Linked DNA regions of Oryctolagus cuniculus. The protein of the gene in region 2 binds, or shares a complex with, the protein of the main gene of each other region. Links are inferred from orthologs where the notes say so. Each region holds a gene or a part of one and is shown on either strand. Other genes may lie near its edges.

The links. The genes of interacting proteins can lie anywhere in the genome.
Region 1: HTATSF1 (region 2) and SF3B4 share a complex: the UniProt entries of both Homo sapiens proteins name them as parts of the 17S U2 SnRNP complex. The link is inferred for Oryctolagus cuniculus from reciprocal best matches to the Homo sapiens genes HTATSF1 and SF3B4.

The regions. Positions count from the first base shown.
Region 1 is NC_091438.1:48,025,903-48,030,267, forward strand, and holds the start of SF3B4 (splicing factor 3B subunit 4), read left to right. Parts: upstream 1-1,304; 5' UTR 1,305-1,393; coding exon 1,394-1,427; intron 1,428-1,863; coding exon 1,864-1,992; intron 1,993-2,568; coding exon 2,569-3,111; intron 3,112-3,428; coding exon 3,429-3,635; intron 3,636-4,365. UniProt on the Homo sapiens protein: Component of the 17S U2 SnRNP complex of the spliceosome, a large ribonucleoprotein complex that removes introns from transcribed pre-mRNAs.
Region 2 is NC_091453.1:114,293,340-114,297,565, forward strand, and holds the start of HTATSF1 (17S U2 SnRNP complex component HTATSF1), read left to right. Parts: upstream 1-1,319; 5' UTR 1,320-1,453; intron 1,454-1,702; 5' UTR 1,703-1,711; coding exon 1,712-1,897; intron 1,898-3,573; coding exon 3,574-3,754; intron 3,755-4,226. UniProt on the Homo sapiens protein: Component of the 17S U2 SnRNP complex of the spliceosome, a large ribonucleoprotein complex that removes introns from transcribed pre-mRNAs.

The sequences.
Region 1 (4,365 bases), on a different chromosome or scaffold from region 2:
TCCTAATACTGCAGTGTTTTGTATATGGCCTTGTTGCCTCAGCTTTCACACTCCAGCTCTTAAGCAAACTCACTTAGAATTGAGTTTGTTGTGGACGGTGGTGCTAATCTTTAATTCTTGTCCTTTTATTTGGTTCCTGAAGCTGTTGTTTCCTGGGAGTTGAAGAATTAAGAAACAAAACAATCCACAATGTAATTGCTTTATAGATAGCCAGCTATTTAAGTTGTGACACCAGAGACGCTGTTCACCAGTTCCAACAGTATGGCCTAAAGACCTCATTCTTGCCCCTTCTTGCTGCCTATTTTAATTCCAATTTCTGTTTCTTCCTGTATAGTTTCTTTTGGAAACAAAGTGGATATGAAACACACCCTCTCTTCCAACTGTACATTTTTGTAGTGGCATTTCTATTTAAGTTCATTAAAGCACAATATTTATACACATTGCTGGCACTGATTCTTGGATTTGAATGAAGGATCCTAGATAGCAAAGACTTGAGAAAAGGTCCCCATCGTATGATTTCTAAGAAAGGAATGGATTTGGACCACGTGAGGCTCAGAATTCTCATCTCCCATTTAGAGGCAGACAGCCAAGAGCATATTATGACGTTGCTGGGGCCAGAAAGTGCTCTTGGAGTTGCAGCTTTGGTCACACTCCATCCGGGGAGCCTCAGATTCTGCTCACACTCCGGCTCAGACATTACCTCGAGCCAGCCAGAGGCATGAGGCCAAAACTAAGACGCTTGTGGAGCAGAGTCCTTAGGTTGAGGGGTCCCTGAGAACCTTTTCCTTTGGGTGACAAAAGGATCAGCTGGCTACAAAATACACGAAGAGTTACTATTTTTAGCTTGAAAGAGAGGAACAGACAACTTCCATCCGCTGGTTCACTCCCCCAAATGCCTCTAACAGTCGGGGCCATGCCAGACGCAGACCGGGAGCGGGGAACAATCCAGGTCTCCGACATGGGTGGCAGGGACCAAACTTGGGGTTTCTGCTGCCTCCCAAGGTGTGCATTTACAGGAAGCTCGAGTCGGGGGAAACCGGGGCTCGGACCCTGTAATTCTTGACTGAGGATGCTGTGGCTTAACCGCTGTGCCAAACGCCCGCACCGGTGGGAGACGTCTGGCACTGCTTTCAGAGGGCCTGCGCTTTCCTGCCCCGCCCTCCTCGCTACGACCGCTCGCCCCGGAACCTCGGCGCAAATCCAAACGCCTCTGAACCGGGACGCCACAGCACCGTCAAGTCCCGCGGGATCCTAAGATGGCCGCAGCCGCTTCCGGCCCCGCCCCCGTCCGGGCCCCGCCCAGCGTCACGTAAGTCTTCGCCCCGGAAGTGGAAGTAGTGACCGCGGCCAGAGGGCGGAGCCGCTGCTTGGAGGCGGCGGGATTCTTTTCGCCATGGCTGCCGGGCCGATCTCCGAGCGGAACCAGGGTGACTGGGCGGGGAGACGAGTCCGGAATGGGCCCGGGAGGGTGGGAAGCCCCAGCTAAGGCCAGTAGCGTCTCCAAGGCGGGAAACTGGACCCCCGTCCCCCGGAGGGCGCGAGACTCGCTTCCGTGGCTGGTGCGGGCGGGTTGGCCGGGTGCAGGCTGAGGCCTGGACGTGTGATGTTTCGTGCAGTCCCCCTGCTGCCTTTTCTGAGTGGGACGGAATTTGCAGCAGACACTAAAGTGAACTTCAGAAGGGGCTCTAGGTCCTGCGAAGAGGACGATTTAGGGCTTATTTGGATGCTTTCCACCTCCCCCTTTTCGCTTCTGTCCCACATCCCCGCCTGCAGTTCCTCTAACTGGGTTCCATCTTTATGTCCCGGTCAGCTCCTTTCCTGTCATATTCGTCCCCATCCTAAATTCCTGCATCCTCCCTCCAGATGCTACTGTGTACGTGGGGGGCCTGGACGAGAAGGTTAGCGAACCTCTGCTGTGGGAGCTCTTCCTGCAGGCAGGACCGGTGGTCAACACTCACATGCCGAAGGACAGAGTCACTGGCCAGCACCAAGGTGAGTCCGCGCCAAGAGGCCACTTTATGTATCTGACAGCTGCTCCTGAGGGTCCCAGCGGTATTTATACTTGTTTCAGAATGAGCGACCAGAAGATTGCTTCCTCTTCTTTTCTCTTTTTTAAAGATTTATCTATTTACTTGGGAGGCAGAGTTACAGACAGAGAGAGGGAGAGACAGAGAGAGGCCTTCCATCCACTGATTCACTCCCCAAATGGCCGCACTGGCCGGAGCTGGGCCAGTCTGAAGCCAGGAGCTTCTTCAGGTCTCCCACCCTGGTGCAGAGACCCAGAGACTTGGGCCATCTTCTCCTGCTTTCCCAGGCCATCAGCAGGGAGCTGGATCAGAAGTAGGGTAGCTGGGACTTGAGCTGGCGCCCATATGGGATGCTGGTGCTGCAGGCAGATGCCCAACCCACTGTGCCTCAGCACCGGCCCCAGATTGCTTTCTCTTAATCCTCAGTTCACAGTTTGTTTCTAAAATCATTTTCTTGTTCTTTGTGATTGGAGGGTGGGTGAGTTTTACCCAGTTTCGGGTATCTTCGCTCTAGTTGCTAATCTCCTCTCTGCCTGCTTAGGCTATGGCTTTGTGGAATTCTTGAGTGAAGAAGATGCTGACTATGCCATTAAGATCATGAACATGATCAAACTCTATGGGAAGCCAATACGAGTGAACAAGGCATCAGCTCACAACAAAAACCTGGATGTCGGGGCCAACATTTTCATCGGGAACCTGGACCCGGAGATTGACGAGAAGCTGCTTTACGATACTTTTAGCGCCTTTGGGGTCATCTTACAAACCCCCAAGATCATGCGGGACCCTGACACAGGCAACTCCAAAGGTTATGCCTTTATTAATTTTGCTTCATTTGATGCCTCGGATGCAGCAATTGAGGCCATGAATGGGCAGTACCTCTGTAACCGCCCCATCACCGTGTCTTATGCCTTCAAGAAGGACTCCAAGGGTGAGCGCCATGGCTCCGCAGCTGAACGACTTCTGGCAGCCCAGAACCCACTCTCCCAGGCTGATCGCCCACATCAGCTGTTTGCAGATGCACCCCCTCCACCCTCTGCTCCCAACCCTGTGGTATCATCACTGGGGTCTGGGCTTCCTCCACCAGGTAAAGCTTTTGGTTCGCAAATACGTTTGTCTTGGGGCTGCAGTGAGGAGAACAAAGAACCTGGAAAGGGAAGATCTCCTGAGTCAGTGGGTGATGAGAAGGGAGTTAGGAGGTGGTGGGTGGGAGGGGTGTGAAGAACTCTGTCGGGCTTCTCCAGGGAGGTAGGATTATTTGAGTAGTGCAACATGGCTTGTGACCTTAGAGCACTGGGAGGAGGGGGCAAGAACTCACCCTGCATAGACAGGTCAAACTGGGACAGGTTCTTTAAAGGCATTCTTTGCCCACCGCCATTAATCCTTCTTCTGATTTCTATATAGGCATGCCTCCTCCTGGCTCTTTCCCACCCCCAGTGCCGCCTCCTGGAGCCCTCCCACCTGGAATACCTCCAGCCATGCCCCCCCCACCAATGCCTCCTGGGGCTGGAGGACATGGCCCTCCATCAGCAGGCACCCCGGGGGCTGGACATCCTGGTCATGGACACTCACATCCTCACCCCTTCCCACCAGGTGGCATGCCCCATCCAGGTAGGTGTTCTTGGCTGGGAAAGGGAGGGATGTGCGTGAACGAACAAAATGCTCTCTTTAGTTTACTACTTACCACCTGTCCTGTTGTGTAAGTCTTTCTGCAGAGTAGCCTATACTTGCTGTTTGTTTGTTCCCTGTTGTTTCCCTTCTCTCTGACTCAACCCCAGAGCAGTGGTCTAGGGGATACTTCGACTTCTTAGATGGTTTGCCCTCTGCTGTATTTGAAACTAGCTGTGTACTCCTGTTTGAAATTCTTGTCTGTTTTTTTCATCTGTTTTTTGGATTCTCCACCTGACACCTCAGTTTCAGTCAATTTGATAAACTGATTTTTCTCTGGGTCTAGATTAAGTATACACTGATGTCTCCTAGTCTGTATCTCTAGTTCATGATTATTAACAATCTAAATCCATAATCCTGTTGCTCAGTGGACAGATCCACTTTTGTACCTCTCCCCTTCAGACCTTTCTCTTTTTAAAAAAATACGTGTAGGGGCCAGCGCTGTGGCACAGCAGGTTAACACCCTGGCCTGAAGCTCCGGCATCCCATATAGGTGCTGGTTCTAGTCCCGGCTGCTCCTCTTCCAATACAGCTCTCTGCTATGGCCTGGGAAAGCAGTGGAAGATGGCCCAAGTCCTTGGGCTCTTGTACCCGCGTGGGAGACCCGGAGGAGGCTCCTGGCTCCTGGCTTCGGATCGGCACAGCTCTGGCCATTGCAGCCTATTGAGGAGTG
Region 2 (4,226 bases):
CTATGGTTATGGTTGAAACATGGATTCACACAGTTGGCATGTGAGGAGCCAGGATTTTCTAGAATTCATACTCAGCTGCTAAGTTTCGAAGCAAATGTCACTGGAATAGTAGAAATAATTTTTTCTGAGGAGCTTTTCTCCATCCTCAATGAACACCTAACGGGCTGTCATTTTTAAATGGACTAATAAATACTCATTAAAATGACTGTTTTGGAAATAATGGTAAATATAAACCATATAAACAAAAACTCTTTGGACTCTTCAGTATTTTGGGGGAGTAAAGCGATCCTGTGATCAGAAAGTTTGAGAACCACTGTCTCTGGCACCCCATACCTCTCCTGTCAGATTTATTAGCCTTCCTGAGCCTGTTTCCCACGAGCTGTGCCCATCTTGTTGACTGTTGAGTCACCAGAGCCTAGTACATTGCCTGACACTTACTAGTTCAATAACTGTTATACCAAGTGACAAATATGGACTTCTTCGTTTTCAGCAAAGCAAGTAATTTGCAGGGAAAAAAAAAAGTTCTGTTTAGAACAAAAGCGTGCTGTATCTTTCTAAAGGAAAGACAAAGTTACTGGGCCAGCACAGGTTGTGTTTACACTGGGATGTTTATGTTTACGTTTCAAGTTTGGGGCTTGAGCACTTCTGAATCCTGGAGGACGAGGCAGGCAGAGTCCAACTCTTCGTCCAGAGGAAGGCATGAGACGATCAAACAGGAGTCTGAGATTAGGCAAAGGTTGATCCTTGTGCTTATCCTTGGTTTGTTCGTTCATTCAGTCACTGCACACTAGACAGCAAATCCTGCAGCAGGTGATTAGGCTACCAAGATGAGCCAGAGCCGGAGCCTATCCCAGGGCAATCAGAAACAAATAAGTAAAAGACATGACACCGAAGCAGGGAAGAGTTTTTGGGCGACGGAGACGCGACGTTTTTGCGTTTTAAGGAAGCGAGAGAAACCTGTCCTGCCGGTCCCACCCACTCCCCCAAGATGGCGCCCACTGCAAGGCAGTATTCCCACACCTTCCTTTGGGGTACCGCCCGGACTAGGTCAGCCAGGCCGAACCTTCCGAAGACCCACGGGGCCTAAGGCCCCCAAGGGACTGCATTGCCCTAAAGGACCTCATCTCGTCCACAGGAAGGGCCTGGTGGTCATCAACGCACGACAGCCGCGCATTCCTTGGCGCCCCGCCCCTCCGGACCCTGCGCCTCAGGCCTTCGTCGGCACCTTTTGACGTCATGGTAGGCGTGTCGGCGCGACACAGGACGTCACACCGCGCCCACAATGGCGACTGCGTCAGCCTGAGGAGGGCTCCGTTTGAAGTCATTTCCTGACGCTGCCGCGAGAATTGCAGTCGTCTCAGACCCGAGCGGCGGTGGCGGCGGCGCGCGTGCGCGCTCTCGCCGCGCCCTGGACCGAGCGGCGGCGCCGCCGAGGCCCGGTGGTTCAAGCCAGGTGGGCGGTGGCGGAGCCGAGCTGAGAGGATCGGCGCGCGCGCGCGCAGTGGGCGGGCGGACAGCCGCGCGGAGCGAGGGGCGGCGCGGCGGCGAGCGGTCCCGACTTCCCGGGGATTGCTGGGGCGCCGTGGGGAGGCGGGCCGGGGGGCCGCGGGGCGGGAGCGGAGCACGGCCGACCTCCTTCTCAGATCCCCTCTCTGGCGTCATTTCGGCCTCTTCGCTCGTCTGAACCCTGCTTCTGGGCTAGGTAGGAAACATGAGCGGCAACAACTTGGGTGGGAACGACGAGTTTGATGAGCAGTTGCGAATGCAAGAATTGTACGGAGACACCAAGGAGGGTGACACCCAGAACGATCCCGGCGGAGAACCCGATTCTTTCGGGCAGCAGGCGGCTGACACCCCGTACGAGTGGGACCTAGACAAGAAGGCTTGGTTCCCCAAGGTAAGCGAGTAGCACTGGCGCCACTGCAGAGCGGGCCGCCTGGCCAGCTTCACAGAGCACTTTTACATTTGCTGTGCTCACTCAGTCAGGTCTGTGGTCCTCACCCCCCTGGATGGTGACGCTTGTTTTTGTTGTGTCTTTTGCAGAGTTGATGTGTAAAGGAACGTAAATCTTTCGAATGGGGTATTAAATGCCTTTTCCGTGCTTTATTTTGTCTGTGAAGGTCACAGTTGGCTATTCTATTGATGACTTTTTTATTGCAAAGAGGAAAAACACACAAAAAATTTTGTAGCTGATCATCTCAGATAGCCGCCCTCGCTTACCTCACTTATCGTAGGAATTCACGTTTAGCATATGTCTTCGTTTACAAAAAGTTGCTGTTTATATACTTGTGCTGAATGAACTTTGTTTGCTCCTTGCTTTCTCTGCCTGCTGCGTTTGTCCTTAGGCATTTATGTTTGAACTTTACATCCACAAGAATACAATGAGGGATGCGCAGAGTATGGTTGGAAAAGATGTGTGCATGTTAGTTTGGAGTACTGAGAAATTGTTAGATATTTTATTTCTGCTTGGAAGTAACATAACTAGTGAAACTTGGTTCTGTAAACTTTGCTGTAGAAGCACTCTGTTATTCTGAGTCTCCTGTGGAGGCCAGAAAGACTACTAATAGCACACCAAGACATGCAAACCAACAAAACACAGCGTGTCTCCATTGTGTGATTAGACTGATCTGTGAAAAAGTCTTCATTTCTACTTTTCTTTCCCATTTTATATTTGTATATATTGAAAGTTCTCCAACTTTTTAAAATTTGCTATTTTACAAAAGTACAGGTAGTGTCAGCTTGAGGCAAATTGGCTTTCTTCAGCCTTCTGAGTACTTTTAACAGTAGTCTGGTAGTGGATTAATTTATCGTTCTACATTTTTGTGTTATTGAGGCCCTTACCTCTTCAAACTTTGAGTTTTAAATTTTCCCCATTCATGTGTGTACTGAATGTTGATTGAATTGGTGTGATGCTATAAGCACTTTTCTAACATTATATAATAGTCCATTTTCCCCCCAAAACTAGTTGGATTTGCCCTGAATTGATTCTGATTCTAAATGGTGATTTCATTAGTGATAGATTTCAAATGATCATTTAGCTTTGTAATTATGAGTCTCATTCTTTGTATGCCACATCACACTTCCATTCTATGTGCTCTTTGAATTCACATATTGAATAATTAAGTGGAAATATATGTGTGCTTCTATACAGTAAAAAAAGTGGATTTTGTGGTTAGCTTATTAGTTGACTGTAGGTTGTTATCCTGTCGTATTGTTACCTGGTATTTCCTTTGTTATATGTATGTGTAGCCTTAGTCAGTAGACTGTGGAGAGGTAGTAATTTATAAATGCATCAACTAGAAAAGGGACCAACATCACTTAAAGTGCTTTATTAGTACCACAGACTTTTGTCTTGATAATTTAAGTATTTGTATCAGGTGACCATTCTTGGATTTACACTTTAATCACTACAACTACAATTATTATTCACGCAGCGTCTTCGATGGTAAGTTATATAGCCAAATAGTCTGTAATATGACACAGTTTGAAGTTTATGGGTGGAAATAACTGAATTTCTGTGCATGTGTTTGTATGTGTATGCACACACGTGCATGAACTAAATTTCTTGTTTAGATCACTGAAGATTTCATTGCTACATATCAGGCCAATTATGGCTTCTCTAATGATGGCGCATCTAGTTCTACGGCAAACATACAAGATGTCAATACTAGGATTGCTGAGGAACCTCCACAAAGAAAAACTCCTGAACCCACTGATCCCAGAAAGAAGGGAGAAAAAAGAAAATCCGAGTCAGGCAAGTAGTTCTAGCTTGCAGAATATGAGTGTAAAAACTTAAAAGTGTGAATGTATACATAGAGTTACTTTTTGGAGATTTATAATAGCTTTGAACAAATGGCAAGATTTTTTTATTTAAATAATGGCAGATTCATAATTACCTGATTTGATTAGTTTATGCTCTATTTGTATATTGAAAAATTTTACTATAGCCCATGAAAATGTTTAAGTAGGGATCGGTATTGTGGTGCAGCAGGTTAAGCTGCCACTGGGAACCCGGCACCCCATATCAGAGTGTCAGTTTAAGTTGTGGCTCCTCAGCTTCTGATTCAGCTTCCTGTATCTGTATTCTGGAGGGGAGCAGATGACGGATCAAGTCCTTGGGCCCCTGCTACCCATGTGGGACACTAGGAGGAATTCTGGACTCCTGTTTTTGGCCTGACCCAGCCCAACCTTGTTTGTGGACATTTCAAGAATGAAACAACAGATGG